4 linked regions of the Rattus norvegicus genome follow. The protein of the gene in region 3 binds, or shares a complex with, the protein of the main gene of each other region. Links are inferred from orthologs where the notes say so. Each region holds a gene or a part of one and is shown on either strand. Other genes may lie near its edges. The genes, in order: Hjurp, Ntmt1, Cenpa and Cenpc.

The links.
Region 1: the proteins of Cenpa (region 3) and Hjurp are in contact, whole or in part, in a crystal structure (PDB 3R45), measured with the Homo sapiens proteins. The link is inferred for Rattus norvegicus from reciprocal best matches to the Homo sapiens genes CENPA and HJURP. Residues at the interface, in NP_001800.1 of Homo sapiens: Lys64, Leu65, Ser68, Arg69, Arg72, Asp83, Phe84, Asn85, Trp86, Gln87, Ala88, Gln89, Leu91, Leu92, Ala93, Glu96, Ala97, Ala100, Phe101, His104, Glu107, Asp108, Leu111, Leu112, Leu114, His115, Ile132, Glu136; in NP_060880.3 of Homo sapiens: Glu14, Asp15, Leu18, Lys21, Leu22, Ser25, Arg26, Arg28, Phe29, Arg32, Met33, Leu36, Lys39, Tyr40, Pro43, Phe44, Thr47, Pro48, Val49, Val50, Gln51, Met52, Ala53, Thr54, Leu55, Ile65, Trp66, Gly67.
Region 2: the proteins of Cenpa (region 3) and Ntmt1 are in contact, whole or in part, in a crystal structure (PDB 5CVD), measured with the Homo sapiens proteins. The link is inferred for Rattus norvegicus from reciprocal best matches to the Homo sapiens genes CENPA and NTMT1. Residues at the interface, in NP_001800.1 of Homo sapiens: Gly2, Pro3, Arg4, Arg5, Arg6, Ser7; in NP_001273725.1 of Homo sapiens: Tyr19, Trp20, Met30, Leu31, Gly32, Tyr34, Ile37, Trp136, Asn168, Ile175, Asp177, Asp180, Asp212, Glu213, Ile214, Tyr215.
Region 4: Cenpa (region 3) and Cenpc share a complex: the UniProt entries of both Homo sapiens proteins name them as parts of the CENPA-NAC complex. The link is inferred for Rattus norvegicus from reciprocal best matches to the Homo sapiens genes CENPA and CENPC.

The regions. Positions count from the first base shown.
Region 1 is NC_086027.1:96,312,624-96,316,812, reverse strand, and holds the start of Hjurp (Holliday junction recognition protein), read left to right. Parts: upstream 1-1,354; coding exon 1,355-1,450; intron 1,451-1,534; coding exon 1,535-1,601; intron 1,602-3,868; coding exon 3,869-3,924; intron 3,925-4,189. UniProt on the Homo sapiens protein: Centromeric protein that plays a central role in the incorporation and maintenance of histone H3-like variant CENPA at centromeres.
Region 2 is NC_086021.1:34,501,688-34,505,247, forward strand, and holds part of Ntmt1 (N-terminal Xaa-Pro-Lys N-methyltransferase 1), read left to right. Parts: intron 1-2,831; coding exon of another isoform or gene 2,832-2,873; coding exon 2,874-3,035; intron 3,036-3,560. UniProt on the Homo sapiens protein: Distributive alpha-N-methyltransferase that methylates the N-terminus of target proteins containing the N-terminal motif [Ala/Gly/Pro/Ser]-Pro-Lys when the initiator Met is cleaved.
Region 3 is NC_086024.1:31,428,732-31,432,808, reverse strand, and holds the start of Cenpa (histone H3-like centromeric protein A), read left to right. Parts: upstream 1-1,256; 5' UTR 1,257-1,272; coding exon 1,273-1,432; intron 1,433-4,077. UniProt on the Homo sapiens protein: Histone H3-like nucleosomal protein that is specifically found in centromeric nucleosomes. Replaces conventional H3 in the nucleosome core of centromeric chromatin that serves as an assembly site for the inner kinetochore.
Region 4 is NC_086032.1:22,341,653-22,345,757, forward strand, and holds the start of Cenpc (centromere protein C), read left to right. Parts: upstream 1-1,257; 5' UTR 1,258-1,475; coding exon 1,476-1,493; intron 1,494-4,105. UniProt on the Homo sapiens protein: Component of the CENPA-NAC (nucleosome-associated) complex, a complex that plays a central role in assembly of kinetochore proteins, mitotic progression and chromosome segregation.

The sequences.
Region 1 (4,189 bases), on a different chromosome or scaffold from region 3:
ATGCTTTGATTGAGTTTTCTCAATGACAATCAGTATTCTGAAACCATTTCCACCTATGTAGCTAAACGCACTCTGATGAACTGTTTATGCCTCTTTCTAACACAGTGGTCATGAACGTTCTATCCGGAGTCAAGATTATCTGTAAATTGACAGCGTCTTGGGTATTTTGTTATTACTGTGAGAAAACACCTAGCAAAAAGCAAGTTAAGGAAAGAAAGTTCGACTTTAAGCTTGCAGTCCAGAGAAGTTCAGCACATCAGGATGGGGAAAGCTAGAGGCACACAGGAGACAGAATAGCATATCTGGTTGACACCACCACCGTTGCTCTGAAGCAACACATTTTCACATCCTCACATGGAGCAGGGTCATGTCGGGGTAGGGACAGATTGGATGAGACAGCCTCCATTCAATCCCAAGAGAGTTGGACAACTGACGCCCTCCCGGAAGCTGAGTATCTTGAAAGGGACTTGATAGCTCATCTCTGTGCCTGTTGCAAATACATTGCTTGGACATCCACAGTCTCTGAACCCGGAAGCTCTTCTTCCCTTCCCCGGTTTCAGTGGGACAGCATGAAAAGGTTATGGGGCAGGCTGAGAAATAGAGAGGCGACTCAAGGGATTTCCTGATACTCAGTAATGACTCCATTTTCGCCCGCATTGTGATAACCACGCTAACACAAGCACACGGATGCAGCTGTTATGAAGCCAGAGTAAAACCAAATTAGTCTGAAGTTCAATCCCCCAGCTCCGCAAGAAGACAACCCCCCCCAAAAAAATCTGAAAATGTTCTAAAGTGTCAAGGTAAGTATTCTCATAAAATGGACACGAAATCACCTACCCCCTCAAGGAACAAGATAAATATCAATCAAGAAACAGCCTATAACCAGAAACGGGAAAGAAAGTTTATCAAAACCCTAGGATAAAAACCACAGATTCTGTCACGCTTATAATATCGATCAGCACATTTATACGTGTCTTGTCTTTGAATACTGGCTTTCCCGACTCCTTTCAGGACCATTATTTGGAGCTGGCTTTTCCCAAACCTTCCCAAGAGCTGGGAAATTGGTAGATTCAGGCGGGGTGTGGGAGCCTTGACGGGCAACTCACCCAGACGCCTCTAGGGGGCGCAGAAGTGCCGCATGAAGTAATGCGCATGCTCCACCGGCTCCCTAGCCCTCTCTTTCTTCTCTCCCCTTCCCGTTTCTGCCGGAAGCGCTCCCTGAGAGAGGCGGAAACTCGAGCAGGATCGGTTGCGTAAATACTTTCGAAAGGACCTATCAGCGCTTGGGGCGCCATGTTTGATCTGTGAGCGGGCTTGGGCGGGTGTTGTGCTCGGGGGTTGAGCCACGCACGCCATGGAGTCTATGAATCTGCGGGATCGCCCGCTGGATCAGCGTCTCAAGGAAAGCAGTAGACGCTTCCAGACGTACATGCAGCGGCTGATAGCGAAGGTGGGCTGGGACGACCGTGGCGGGAAGGGCGCGGCGGGCGGGAATCCAACACCCTCACGTCTGACCAGCTCTCCTTCCCCGCAGTACAACCAACCCTTTGAGGATGACCCGTTGGTGCAGATGGCCACGCTGACTTACGAGACGCCCCAGGGTACGGAACCCTCTCTTTCTTTTGGCAGCGTGCTACAACAATGGGGTCTAGAATTTGCAATGCAGACCTAGAATCCATGAACTGCTGATGTCCAGTTCATTTCTCTGAGAGAAATGCCTGGAGACACAGGTGCAGCCTGGTTTTTAAAATGCCTGCCGTGGAAGTCCGAGCTAATTGATTAGCGGCACAGTGTCTCTGTAAAATAAGGATGTTGACAACCATGGGTACTCCATATGGGTGTGTTCACTGGAGTGCCTGTCAAGCCATTTGGAACTGCACCCAGGACTGCTCCGTTTTCATAGGCTATGCCATAGTCCTATTATCTTCCTCTTCTGAAGCCATTTTATTTAATGTTGTGAACTGCCTTAAACCTAATGTGTTCTCTAACTGGGGTATGTTTGTATTGGATGACGTTATTTCCTTCCCTAAGACCCATCCCAGATGTTTGTCTTCATTTATTGATAAAATCTGATTTGGGATCACAGTCTGCCAAGGGTCCAGAGGACCAGCTCTTTGACAAGTGCAGTCTGCCCTTTGTCTTTTTGACTGTTCAAGGCACGACGTATTGGGTAAGCATTTTCCGTAGTCAGAAACTGAAGTAATACTGCAATGGGTTGCTTTTCTCTGGATGGGATCAGGACACAGTAGTGTAGGAATCCTTCAGTGTGCTCTCTGTCTCTCAGCTTTTCTGTGTTCTTGTGGCTGTTGGGGGTGGTTGGTGGAATATTTTGGACAGCCCATCTATCTTAAAATGATATATTTTGTCGGCGATATATAACTGCTGTCAGTTATATGAGAAGAGTGAGGTGTCTAAAGAGTTTGAGACCATACAGATGGGCAATAGAACGAAGTCCCGACTTAAGGCGGAGACTGGAGCAGAGAGCTGACTGCAGAGAACAATACAGGAATCTGTTCGAGTGTATTGACAGTTCACCTGTGTCTGCACTTAGGAGTTTTTGTAGAGTTCGGTTTCAAACATGCAACATAAGCACTTAAAAAAAAAAAAAAGGAAATGCAATTAAATGTAGATTCCCACAGAGTAGCCAAGCCTTGATTTGACTCTGAGCTCTTAGAGTCAAGCATCACTGTCTTCTGGAAAGGCTGTGACCTACAGTGGTCAGTGCAGTCAGACCTCCCAGAATTCACATGCTGGTTACACTGCATGAAGGAAGAGCCTGTGTCTAGTCCTCTGAACTTTTCCTCTTTGCATCTCTGTCCGTACAGTGAACATGGTAAGTCTCTGTCCTGTGGGCTTTGAGGAGGGTATAGGAGTCACATGCAAACGGGTTCTGACTACTACATGGTATGTCCTTGCTGAATTCTGGAGCATAGAGGATGCTGTGTAATTTTTCTCCCCCTGCTTCTCTTATAATACAACCATCTCAAATCTCTAAACCCACCATTTTTCCAAGTAGCATGTGTTTTCCTGGGAGATTTAGGGCTGAGTACATCGCATGGGTTCTGCTAGCTGGGGAGTGACAGGGCTGGTGCACTCAAGCTCCAGAATTCTCTGTACACGGGCTTCTCAGTACTGTGCTTCTAGATTGCCCAAGAAAGCACTGACTCCCAGGATGAGGTCAAATGTATGATACGCATCTCTGTCCCCCATCTTAGTTAGGGTTTTACTGCTGTGAACAGACACCAAGACCAAGGCAAGTCTTATAAAAAAAAAAAAAAAACAAAAAAAAACAAAAAAAAAACATTTAATTGGGGCTGGCTTACAGGTTCAGAGGTTCAGCCCGTTATCATCAAGGCAGGAGCATGGCAGCATCCAGGCAGACATGGTGCAGGAGGAGCTGAGAGTTCTACATCTTCAACTAAAGGCTGCTAGCAGCATACTGACTTCCAGGCAGCCAGGATGAAGTTGGTAAAGCCCACAATGACACACCTACTTTAACAGGGCCACACCTCCTACTCCTGCCACTCCCTGGACTAAACATAGACTGTCTCACACACACCCAACCCCAAACATACAGCTTAAAAATGGTATGTATTTGGAACATGAGCTGTCCGTAGCCCTTTGGGTTCGTACTGGAATTGGGTGAACTGCCACCTTCTGGGTAGGAGAGATGGCCGTTAATGACGTTTGTCCGATCTTGGTTTTTTTAAAACACTTTCTCCTTCACCAAGCTGAACAGGGCTCTGTCAACGCCTGGATCGCTTTTAAGGCAGGCTTTGTGTCGTTCCGTTGGGTTTCCCGTCAAAGCATTTTAAGCAGAAACACGAGCATTTCAGATTGCTTCAGTTTGTCACCTTTGTTTCTTAAGGATTGAGAGTCTGGGGAGGAAAGCTGATAAAGGAAGAAGACGAGGAACACACTCAGGTATTTACGGTCACATTTGCTGCCTTGGTGCTTTGCTATAGTGTGTTGTTGATGTGACTAAATCCCAACACAAGTGAGCCCTGAGGAGGCCACCTCAGGGCAACCGATCTCCTCCTCTGCCTTTGCCCCTCCTGGTGTTTCTTCATCTCCTGGCTCCTGTGTGCTATTTCTCTATCATGGTCCACAGGACCCTAACAGCAAGCTTGTGTGCAGATGCTGGATCAGCTCCGGGGCTTGCAGGGTGTGTCCTAGAGGCAGCTGGGAG
Region 2 (3,560 bases), on a different chromosome or scaffold from region 3:
GAGATCAACCTGCCTCTGCCTCCCTATTGCTGGAATTAAAGATGTGTGTCTCCGCCCAGGGAGGATGTCTCTCTTGATGTCCCTAATTCTCAGGAGCCTTCAGGCCACACAGTGGGCCCTAGAGAGCCATGTTGGGACAGGGCCTCAGGAAGCATGTGTCTTCTTCCCGAGTTGGCTGTAAGAGCAAATCAACCCAGGACTTGCATTCCCCAGTCTGGATGTGTCCATCCCCTGCTCCAGCCCCACCCCTCCCCCATAGCTGCTCCCTAGTAGCTAGTGGGGTTCTTGTAAATGAGATTTTTTCAAGAGACTTTGTGGCATTTAAAGGAATTATGCCACAGGCTTTTAGTAAAGCAACAGATATTGTTGGTAATAGTAGTGTCGTCTGGTTTGAGGGGTCTAGGAGCCTCCAAAAGTGAGAAATGGCTGCCCCCACGCATGCTCCCTCGCTCAGTCATTCTACCGCCAACTAGCAAGCCCAGCTGAACTCCAGCACCCCAAAAGACGCTTGGAGGAGCGGGCAAACTGGGGGGCAGCAGAGAGGCGGAGTGTGCTCCCTTCTGTGGGTGTCTCCCATTTCCCCTCTCACCTGGTAAGGGCCAGATCGCGTGCTGCAGGCCCGCGTGCTGCGTGGGCTATGAGGAAATAACTGAAGTCGTCGTTTTCACATTGGAGGGGGCTTTGAACATCAGTCTGAACATTTTCTTAGGACTTAGGGACAGCGAGGAAGGCTGGCTGCTGGGCCCCAGTACGGGCGGGGCCAGCACAGAGCTCGTGTGTGTGTGTGGAAGAGGCCTGAATATCGTCCTAGCTGCTGGTGGCTGTGACAGAGTTGCTGTGGTGCCTAAAGAGGCACCTGACAGCCCTCTTGTCCCAGGTCATTCTCAGTCCCCAATCAAGTACATGGTGATGGCTCATGTACCATGTCTCTGGTTCTCAAGCCACAGTACCGCTCCGCTGGTAGAGGAGATGTTCTTGGGGGACCTACCGGTCTGCACATTGCTCTGTGGGCCAGGGCATCGGTTCTCAGAAGCCTGCCGTTGTCTTCCCTGGGCCAGTGCTGCTGCTGCTGCTGGCAGGGCATTGTGGTAAAGGAGTGTGCCATTTAGAACCAAGGTCCTCAATCTGTTGCTCCAAGGGCCTCTTGGGGTGCAGTACAGCCATGTAAGACGTCTTCCTCTGACACCAAGCCCTTGTCCCAAAGAGTGTGGTTGTGGTGCAGTGGGGGCTGGTGACAGATAAGGCCACTGTGCTCTTGTGTTCCCTCCCCCTTCCAGTCACAGAAGTACTCGGCAGGGACCTCCCAGCAGCCCACGGGGCTCCTTTCTGGTGTGAGCCTCTTTATTGCTCTCTTCTCTGGCTTTGCTCTTTTGCTCCCAGAGTCCCATGCTGACTGTTAGTGTTGAGCTGTGTGACTTAGGTGCTCGGTGACACCGCCTGTCATAGTGGTATCCAAGTCGGTGGGGTGAGACCTGGAGCTCCAAGGCTGGCCATGTTCCTATAGCATCCTAGCTTCCTCACTGGCCCTCCAAGCAGACACACTGTTGCCTCCTAAGGGCCTTCCTTTGTCATTAGCCTGGCAGACATGGTGCCGAGGGCCGTCATGGTGTGAAGTGTGAATGGCAGGGCCCTGCCCCGTGAAGCCAGTGTTTTAGCGGAAAAGCTGCCTGTGTGGGGAGAGCAGTGCATGGACCCTTTGACCTGGGCAGGGCTTTTAGTTTCTATGTCCCCCGGGTCCCTCTTCTGTACAGTGGGTAATGGTGGCAGGGGAAGGTCGGATGCTGGACAGTGGCTGAGCAGTGACCGACACTTGTCCACTGTCTTTCAGCACAGCTACCGCTGTATCTGCTTCCCCCTGACACCCTCGGGTTAGTCCTGGGTGTTTCTCGTGAATTGGACACTTAATTAGTTTTCAGTGACTATCAACTTCGTGAGCTCCTCAGCCAGCAGGAGCCAGCAGGGGCCAGCAGGAGCCAGCAGAGGCCAGCAGGGGCCAGCAGGCCGCAGTTCAGGGCTGCTCCTCTGTAAAAGTCTTCTGCTGCTTCTCAGTCATTCTCACTGTGGCCCTGCTGCTGCCCCTATCACTTTCTCTGTCCCTGTACCCCTCCCCCAGAGGCCCCCCTGCCCCCATTCAGAAAGCAGTCCTCTAGAGCCCACCAGGCCCAGTGGGGTGCTTATCCAGTGGTACAAGACCTGGGTTCCACTGGAAACAAAAGGAAGAGATGGCTCCATTGACTGCACAGCCTTTATGAAAGCCATGTAAGGACGGAGGGGCCCTTGTTTTCTGCTGTGTTTAGCAGCTTTCTGCTTCCCTGTCTCCTGCTGGACTGTGAACACCGATCCTCGCACTAGCTGGGACACAGGGGAGCCAGCACCTCCCACAGTTGTGATCCTGCGTCTTCCACAACACATGGTGTGGAAGCTGGCGTGGGTGCTGCCAGCCTAGTTCTTCCTGTTGGGGTCCTGTTTGTGCCTAGCTCCTGCCTATTGCCACAGTCTGGTGCCTGGCAGAGAACGTGCTCTGGAATGAAGGGCTGGCCCTCCCTGACCTGTTCGCTTGCCACTGAGGGAGTAGAAAGGGAAGGAAGTTGCTCAGGCCTTCTGGGGTGTCCATAGCAGAAGTCAGGGAACCCTGCTCTGTGGCCTTTGCCTGTCCTGAGGTCAAGAGAGTCACATGGATGTCCGGGATGTTGGGCTGCCTAGGCGACTGGATGTTGCTTTCTCAGGGCTTCATTACCTCTCAGAGAGGTAGTGCCTCTCGCATTATGGCCTGTATACTAGAGGCTTCCTGCCATTCAGTGCCCTGTTGACCCTGCCTCTTCCGTGTTCAGGGGAGCAGAGCAGTGGCTGGTGACTGTGCAGCTGGTGACGTCATGACAAGCGAGGTGATCGAAGATGAGAAACAGTTTTATTCGAAGGCCAAGACCTACTGGAAGCAGATTCCGCCCACGGTGGACGGCATGCTCGGGGGGTATGGCCACATCTCCAACATCGACCTCAACAGCTCCCGGAAGTTTCTGCAGAGGTTTTTAAGGGTAGGCAGGTCTGATGTCCTCTCCAGGAGAGGCTGTGGCTCTGGCGGGGCAGTGCGGGGAGCCTCTTCCACATACCACACTGCAGGTTCTCTGCTCATCTTGTTGGTGGCTGCCACCAAGGCCCTGAAGATCTGGGTGGTGATTGGGTGGGACTTGTGGACCGTGAGTTTTGTCTCAGGGCCACAAGTCAGAAGCTGGCCATGCACTAGGGACTTAGTAGTCTGGGAACAGTCACTGCTGGGCCTAAGAGTGTGCGGACTGTGGGTGGTGACCGTCCTCCCTTCTCAGCTCTGTGCAGCTCAGGGGTGAGCCTTGGAGGAGGCCCTTACCCTCTCTCCACACCCCCATGGGCCATCCCTAACTCTGTCACCCTATGGGCTCCTGGGAGCTCTGAAGTGAGAGCAGATTGTGCACCTGTTTTTTCTAGCTGTCACCTTGAAAGTGACCTGAGAAAGACTTCCACTTGCCCTTCTGTGACAAACCAGTGCAGGTGCCTGACTCGGCTTTCTGGGACTCAGAGGAAGG
Region 3 (4,077 bases):
TGTGTGTGTGTGTGTGTATGTGTGTGTGTCTTTGACTTCTGGATCATATAGTAATTCTGTGTTTAAATGTTGTGTTTGTAGGTAGCATACTGGAGCTTGAACCAGTTGGCTGTTGGCTTTTTGTTTGTTTGAGACAAAAATAAAATAAAATCTCACTCACAGCTCTGACAAGCCTGGAACTCACTAGGTAGGTCGGCTGCCCCTGAGCTTGTAACAAACCTGCTTCTATTTCCCGAGTGCTGGGATTAAAGGAATCCACAGATGACGCCAGAGCACCTGTGGCCCAATCATCTCCCAAAGTCCCCACTCCTGAACAGGGAACACCAAGCTTTTGGAGGACATTTCAAATTCGAACCATGACACATTTCCATAGCAGCTGCGCCATTTTACACCACCCACCCCAATGTTCCACAAGGCTTCTATGAAACCACTGATTATATAAGTATTTTCCTGATTAGAGTACACGTTCACGATAGATCATTTAGAAAACTCAAAAAAGCAAAATGACGAAACTGAAATTCTCTTTATTCTAATTAGGGAGACATGACCTGAATTCATTTTACCCCCAGGAGAAAAGGGAAAAGACGGTTTTTCTCGGACAATTCTGTCATTGTGTTCGATAGCACGGTCCAAGAATAGTGTTGGCGCCTGCCCTCCTGGACCTTGTGCTCAGATCCCATGGTCCTGGCTGTCACCACCACCCTATCTTCTGAAAGGATGACGCAGTTAACCTGGTTTCTGAATCACACTTGCTGGTTGCTTTCAAGAGGGTTACGGGCGCTGGTGGAGTTGTCACATTCTTGGGCAGTCTGTTTCCGCATTTTTAGAGCCACTCAATGTTTGATAGGAAAGCATGCAACGTTTGAGGAAATGAGCTCTAAAACCCATCATCCACATAAGAACTGAATTGTCCTTTAGCCCAGAGTGGTCCTGAGAAAGTGAGTCCTGTCCGTAAGGGATCAAGAAGCAAAGGGTGGGAAAGTCCCGCCTTTTCCTTCGCTTCTCCAAGTACCCATTGGCGGACTCTGAGGTTCAGGCAATTGTTCCCATTGGCTCTTCCGAATGTCGCTCTACGCTCAGAGCCAGCCACTGAGAGTCACGGAGTGGATTTTAAAAATGCGGTGGGCGGAGCGTCTGATTTTTGAACTACTGGCGGCGGAGATCCGGCGTCCCTGACTCGGGCACGGTAGGCTTGCTGTCGAGTTCCGTTTTGGCCGCAGGACCCGGAAGGCTTAGGAGGAGTCGGCTGAGCCCGGACCCTCGCGTCCAGCCATGGTCGGGCGCCGCAAGCCAGGGACCCCGAGGAGGCGACCCTCTAGTCCGGCGCCCGGACCCTCTCAGCCAGCCACGGACTCGCGTCGCCAGTCGAGGACTCCGACGAGGCGGCCCTCCAGTCCGGCGCCCGGACCCTCGCGACGGAGCTCCGGAGTAGGTAAGCGGGCCTTCCCTGCACCACCGAGGCTGCTTCCGTGACCTTGCGAGGCGGGCCAGCAGAGGGACCCTTGCCCCTGGTCAAGCCATGCCGCTAACCACGCATGGGGTTAATGGTTTCTTTCCTGGCCATTTTACAGCCGGAGGGGGGGAAAAAAAGAAGAGCCGCAGACCAGATAGGTTGCTTGAGCAGAGATACACAACACATTCTAACAGACACGGGGTCTTTTTTAAGGATTTATTTAATATTTGTGTGTGTGTGTGTGTGTGTGTGTGTGTGTGTGTGTGTGTGTGAGAGAGAGAGAGAGAGAGAGAGAGAGTGTGTGTGTGAGAGTGAGTGTGTGTGTGTGTGTGTGTGTGTGTGTGTGTGTGTGTGTGTGTGTGTGTGTCTGAGTGTATGCTACATGTGCGAAGGTGCTGGCGATAGCCAGAAGAGGGCATCGGAAGCCCGGAGCCGGGAGTTACAGAGAGTTGTGGAGCTGCCCAGTAAGAGTGCTGGAACAGAACCCAGGCCCCCTGGAAGAGCAGCTAGCGCTATTAACAGCTGAGCTAGTTTTCCAACGCCTACTTTTTATTATTTATTTGCAGGGCTAGAGATAGAACTCAGGACTCTGAGCTTGCTAGGCAAGGGTTCGATTATAGAACTACATCTCCAACCCTCTGTATGAAGGGCTTTAGAATTAGATTTACATGCCTGCTTCTTCCTCTCTGTACTTGGATTAAAGGCACACACCACCACATTCAATTTTTCACAGAGGGACCGTGAGGCTCTAAAGGAATAGTGTGGTCATGTTTGTACCTACCGCTGCCAGAGCTGATGTATCTGTATGATGTTGGCTGTTGATTTCCAGTGTAGAAGCAACCTTCCATTACTCTTATCTTAGGGAAAAGTTTTATCTCAGATGTGCTCACACACTTCTTGACTCTCCTACTGCCCTTGTCTAGTAAGCTTGCTTCCAGCTATTTAGCGCTTTTTCCTTCTTCCACTTCCTTCAGCCTAAGCCCTTGCCCTCACACTCACGGCCTTTTCCTGGATGTCCCCTTCCTTTCCCAAGTCATCCCTTCTTTTATGTGGGCTCTTGGATATATCTTCCTTTTGTGCTGTAAGGGACTTTGTTGTCCTTGCTACCTTGCTCTACATAACAGCTCTCAGCCATCTGAAGCTCCAGTTCCAGAGGATCCTTCTGGCCTCTGCAGGCACTGCATACGCAGACATACATGTAGGCAAAACAGATACACCTAGAATAAGATAAAACCAGTTTTTTTTTTTTTTTTTTTTTTTTTGGTTCTTTTTTTCGGAGCTGAGGACCAAACCCAGGGCCTTGCGCTTCCTTGGTAAGCGCTCTACCACTGAGCTAAATCCCCAACCCCCGATAAAACCGGTTTTGGTGCGACAGTGGCTTCCACATATCTCAGGCCACCCTGGAGCTCAGGACACCTTGTCTCTGCTTCCCAGTTGTTGGAATTGTAGGTGAGAGCCCATGGGCCTGGCTGGAAAGAGCCTTAGTATGTAAGTCCTGCTTGAAATTCTCTGGCTCCCAACTGCTTATGTTGACTCTTGAGACCCGGCTTCAGTGTGTTTGAACCCAGTCTCTCCGGGTCGACTCCGATGCCTTGCGTTTCATAAACATCTGTTCTTGCATCATGAATCTTAGAGCTCTCTTCCTCTTATATTTCTCAAAAATCTTCCTTTTTGGGGGAGAAAATAAGGCCTCACCAGTCTAGGCTCCTACCTCTGCCTGTCGAGCCATGGATTGCAAGTGCACAGCATGGCGCCCAGTTCTCTCCTCTGTTCCAACTCCTTGGGTAGAGTTTATTTGGATTCTTGAGTTTGGCTCCCTTCTCTTCTGGTGTTAGTCGAGTTCTTTGGTGGTCTCTGGTTGTGCTGCCTTTGTTTTCTGTGAGCGTGTACCTGGTAACAACACCCTCTCACCACCCCTCCCTCAGCTGTGCTCCCATAAGTGGTGGGGAAGAGGCAGCTACTCATAGTTTATCTCTTAGTCGTGGTGCATCATGGTTAGCGTCAGTGGACAGCCTGCTATGAATTTAGTCACCCAGGAAGGGGGAACTTCAGCTGAGGAATTGCTTCTGTCAGAGTGGCTGGCCTATGGCCATGTCTGTGAAATATTTTTTAAAATATTTATTTAATGTATATTACAGATGGTTGTGAGCCACCATGTAGTTGCTGGGATTTGAACTCAGGACCTCTGGAAGGACATTCAGTGCTCTTAACCACTGAGCCACCTCCAGCCCATGTGAAGCATTTTTTTTTTAAATTGCTTATCGATGTCGGAAGGCCCAGTCCACTGTGGGTGGCGCTGCCACCTCCTATGTGGGTAGGTGGGCTTGAACTCACATAACCCCTTTCCTCCCCAGGTTGGTCTTCGAGGTGGTGTTTTAATCGCAGCAACAGCAACCAAAGTAGAGCAGGGTCCTCCCTCTTTGTCTTAAGTGTCTCCAGTCTCCTAGACACTGCTTGGGACTTCGGCTCACTCGGGATTAAGTCTCCACCACCTGCCTGGCACGGCCCACCTCTCCTCTCGTCTCCCTTCTTCCATTTTCCTCAGGTGTTCCTTACTGCTGGGGATAGAGTCTCTTTCTTGGCTGGACCTTAAGTAACCCAGCTAAAGCTAAGGGTTCCTGTGT
Region 4 (4,105 bases), on a different chromosome or scaffold from region 3:
AGCACCTCTGCTGCCCTCTGGCGGATCTGACTGGCAAGCTCGGCAGACATCATGAGCACATTTAGCTTGTATTGAACTCCATCATTCTAAAATAATCTGCAATTAAATATTTTTTTATAGGAATGATTGCTTTGTCTGCATGTATGCAAGGACATCGCGTGCGTGCTTGCTGACAGCCGAGGACGTCAGATCCCCCGGAACTGGAGCTACGAATGGTTGAATTGCTTTGTGGGTGCTGGGAACCGAACTTTGCTCCTTTGAAAGTGCAGCAAGAGCTCTTGACCACAGAGACATCGCTCCAGACCCTACCTACCTACCTACCTACCTACCTACCTACCTGTCTGTCTGTCTGTCTGTCTGTCTGTCTGCCTGCCTGCCTATCTATCTATCTATCTATCTATCTATCTATCTATCTATCTATCTACTTTTTGCATTCTGTCTCCTTAGGAAATAGATCAGCTTCAGGCGCGACCATGTGACTCTAGGTGACTTGTGTATGGTGGGTCACCTAGAGTCACGTGGAGAAGACAAAACACATATCCGTGTGTATTTTTGTTTTCCAATTTTCGCATAAGACAGAAGCAGCCACTTTCTCTTAAAAAGATCTATGTTCGTTGTACTGTTATACATATAATTTATGCCAATCATTCTGCTTGCAATGATGCTTCATAAATAATTTCTAAATACTTGAAAAAGATCGAAGACATTATTTTCTGAGATAATGCATAGATGGACTGGTTGTAGCTGACGAATCTGCGTAGAGTTATCTGCTCAAAACGCCAGCAATTTCTACTTCTAATCCTTTTTAGTATTACCTATTAATCCGTAATAAAACTGCTGGGATGTATTATTTATTATACATTTATCTCAAGGAGCAAAGGTGGTGCTCAATACCTGCATTTTAGATACAAGTAGCGGTAGACGCAGCAAAGAGGCTGAAGAAAGGAGACGCAGGAGGGAAGGAGCGCCCAGCACTCTCCAAGCCCACCAGCGAGAGGCGTGCCGACAGGCGAGAGGCGTGGCGACGGGAGGGAGGCGGGGCGACGGGAGAGTGGCAGGAGGACGGGCGAGAGGAGGTGCGATGGGCGAGAGGCGGGGCGATGGGTGGGAGGGTGGGACGACAGTAAAAAGGCAAGGCGTAGGGAGGGAGGGCGGGGCGGCCTGAGAAAGGCGGGTTGATAGGTGGATAGCAGGAGACGGGGCGGGGCCAAGGGCGGGAATCTGAAAACGCAAGTAACGGCCGCTGTCAAGTTGGCTGAGCTAGGCTTGTGCGCATGCGTGGCTCATTTGAAAATTTTTTTCCCTCCAGGCTGGTCTCTGCTGTTTGTTCAGGGCTGTCTTAAGTGCAGGTCTGGCGGTTCTTGGGAAGCCTCCGTCCGCAATCTAACGCTAGCTGAGTGATTTTTAACCTCCTGGAACCCTGGCCTGCTTGGGTTTCCCTCTCAGGCCTCCGTTGGGCCTAGTGGGCCGGAACCATGGCCTCGTTCCATCTGGTAAGTGCGGGTCTGGGTCGGGCCTGCGCGATGAGTGAGTCGGTCGTCTCGTGCTCGAGCGATCGGGACGCGGGGCGGGGGCTGCGTCCGGCTTGTGAGAGGTGCGGAGGGGTGGGATGGGGCGGGTGCCTTTTCCCGCTGGCCAGAGTCGGGTGGGGCTTGTCGGGGTGTATTGAGAACTGCACAGGTAACAAATCAGATGTGATTGTTTACCGGTACCTGAAGTGACTGAACTGGTAGTCCCAAGGTTGTACATCCTAATCTCATCCGTGCCTGCTTTTTTTCTCTGAAGAGCTTGTTCCAGTGTCTACGTTTCAGCCTTTTCCCGTTCTGCAGTCTTCCAAATAGTCATGACTATTGTACAAGTCAGTCAGCCTTGATGGTCTGGAAAACCTCAAGTATTAATTTCTCCATCAAAACAAAGCTAAACCCTTTATTCGACGTTATTTGTCGAAATACTATTTTATGTGAAGAGTCTAATATTTATGGGACACCTGTTAAGGATAAAGCTTTATATAAGGCAACCATATTTTGAAAGGTGCCAACTTCGAAATGTTTGACCTGGACCATAACTTGCAACTTTTATGTTTCTTGACACACTCGATACTCATTACAAGTTTTCTATGATTACTATGCCTTATTTCTGTCCTAATCTAGCAGTTCTATTTTTCTTTTTAAAAAAATCTTCATTGATGGTTTCCTATTATGTAGTTGTGTGTGTGTGTGTGTGTGTGTGTGTATGTTTGAACATGTATGAAAAGACAGTAGAGTGTGTATTCTGCAAAATCATGTATATTATTTACGTTGCACGTGATCAGAGAAAAGAAACATTAAAGCCATAAAGAACGAAGCTTAACAAAGCCCGCTGTACATTATCATATGCCAATTATAACCCTACGACTGTTAGGAGTTTTGTACTTCTGACGTCTGTGCGTTGTCTATTTAGAAGATAAATGGAAGGATGAGCTGGAGAATGTTCTCAGATGTTTTTATATACAAGGGTTTTCAAGATAATTTCCTACCTTAGACATATTTTGTCATATTCAAAGGAACTTTTGTGTTTGCCAGAGTAGGCTTGGAGTTGGGGTGTGGACGATGGAGAGGATGGGAAGTGTTCCAGAACACTTAGTGGATATGTATAGGCGCAAACCAAACCAAAAAACTATTGCACAGTTTTGTTTTGTGTTTTTTTTTTGTTTTGTTTTGTTTTTGAGAAGTGCAGTATCATAGCAGAAGAAACTTAAATTGACATCAATTGAAGGATAAATTAAAGTTGACTGTTTGTACTTTCAAATAAATATTTTTTTAAATTAGAACTCAGAGTTAAGGAGCCGTATTTGTCTTGGTGACCACCTGCTTTTAAGTGTGCCTAAGTCACTGACATTCTAGTAGGTGCTCAGTGTTCTGAGCAGGGGACCTATTTTGTCCTAAAAGTTTTCCTGCTTAACAGACTAAGAGGTGCAGGGGTTCATGTTTCAAACCTGTTGCAGGGTGCAGATTTGTGATCCTTCAATTTTGCTGAACATAGAAGTTTTATAAATCGAGGTTTGGAAGCTTGTGTACTTTAACATTCTCAGGATTGGGTTTATTTCTCACATTGATGAATACCAGAAAGAGACCTGAGTGTTTGCTTTAAACGTTTCCATTAAATAAAAAATGCTGGGACTATTGTAAACATGCCACAGCTATGGGGCTGTCATACAGTGCTGTAGAGTTTTATGTGTCCTAGGTTTAATCTTGACACTAAGAGAAAGCTTGTAACGAAGCCAAACTGTTAGGTATTTTTTTTTCCTTTAGTTTGCTCCCTAGATTCCATCTTTTGTTTTTAAACACTTTATGAAGATTATGGACTTTTGCCTTTAAGAATTTTTATTTAAGCTTTTGTCTTATTTATCTGGCATATCTTTTTGTTGTTGTTTGGTTTTGGGACAGTGTCTCGTGTAACCCAGGATGGCCTTCAACAAGAACTCACTATGTAGGCAAGGATGGCTTTGAACTCCTGCATCCACCTTCTAAGTACTGGGGTTATGGGTCTGCAAGATCACCAAGTCCAACTTTTGGTACCACCCCCCCCCCTTTTTTTTTTGAAACAGAGAGTCTCATGTTTCCCAGACTGGCCTTAAACTCTCCTGTCCATTCTTTGTAAATGTTGGGATTGAAAGTTTACCACCACCTCATGTTTACGGGTTCTGGGGATCTGACTCAGAGATTCTAGAATGCTAGGAAACATTTCTACCATCTAAACTCCATTCCTGGTACAGCTTTTTTGTGTGCTAATGTGGCACACAATTTGGTATAAAAGCTCTGGAAAGAAATTATCTCAAGACAAAATCTTCATCCTGTTTATTTTTTCATTAATTAATTAATTAATTCACTTTACACCCCAGTCTAAGTCCCCTCAGAGAAGGGGAAGTCTCCCCCCCCCCCCCCCCCCCAGCACACCTCTCTTTCCCATGGTTGAGTACTAGCCCTCAATTGGATGTCGAGTGGAAGCAGGACTAAGCACATCCTCTCCCACTTAGGCCGGTTGAGCTAGGGGAGTGGATCCAATGGCAGGCAATGGAGTCAAAGAGACAGCCCCTGCTCTAGCTGTTAGGGGACCAACATGAAGA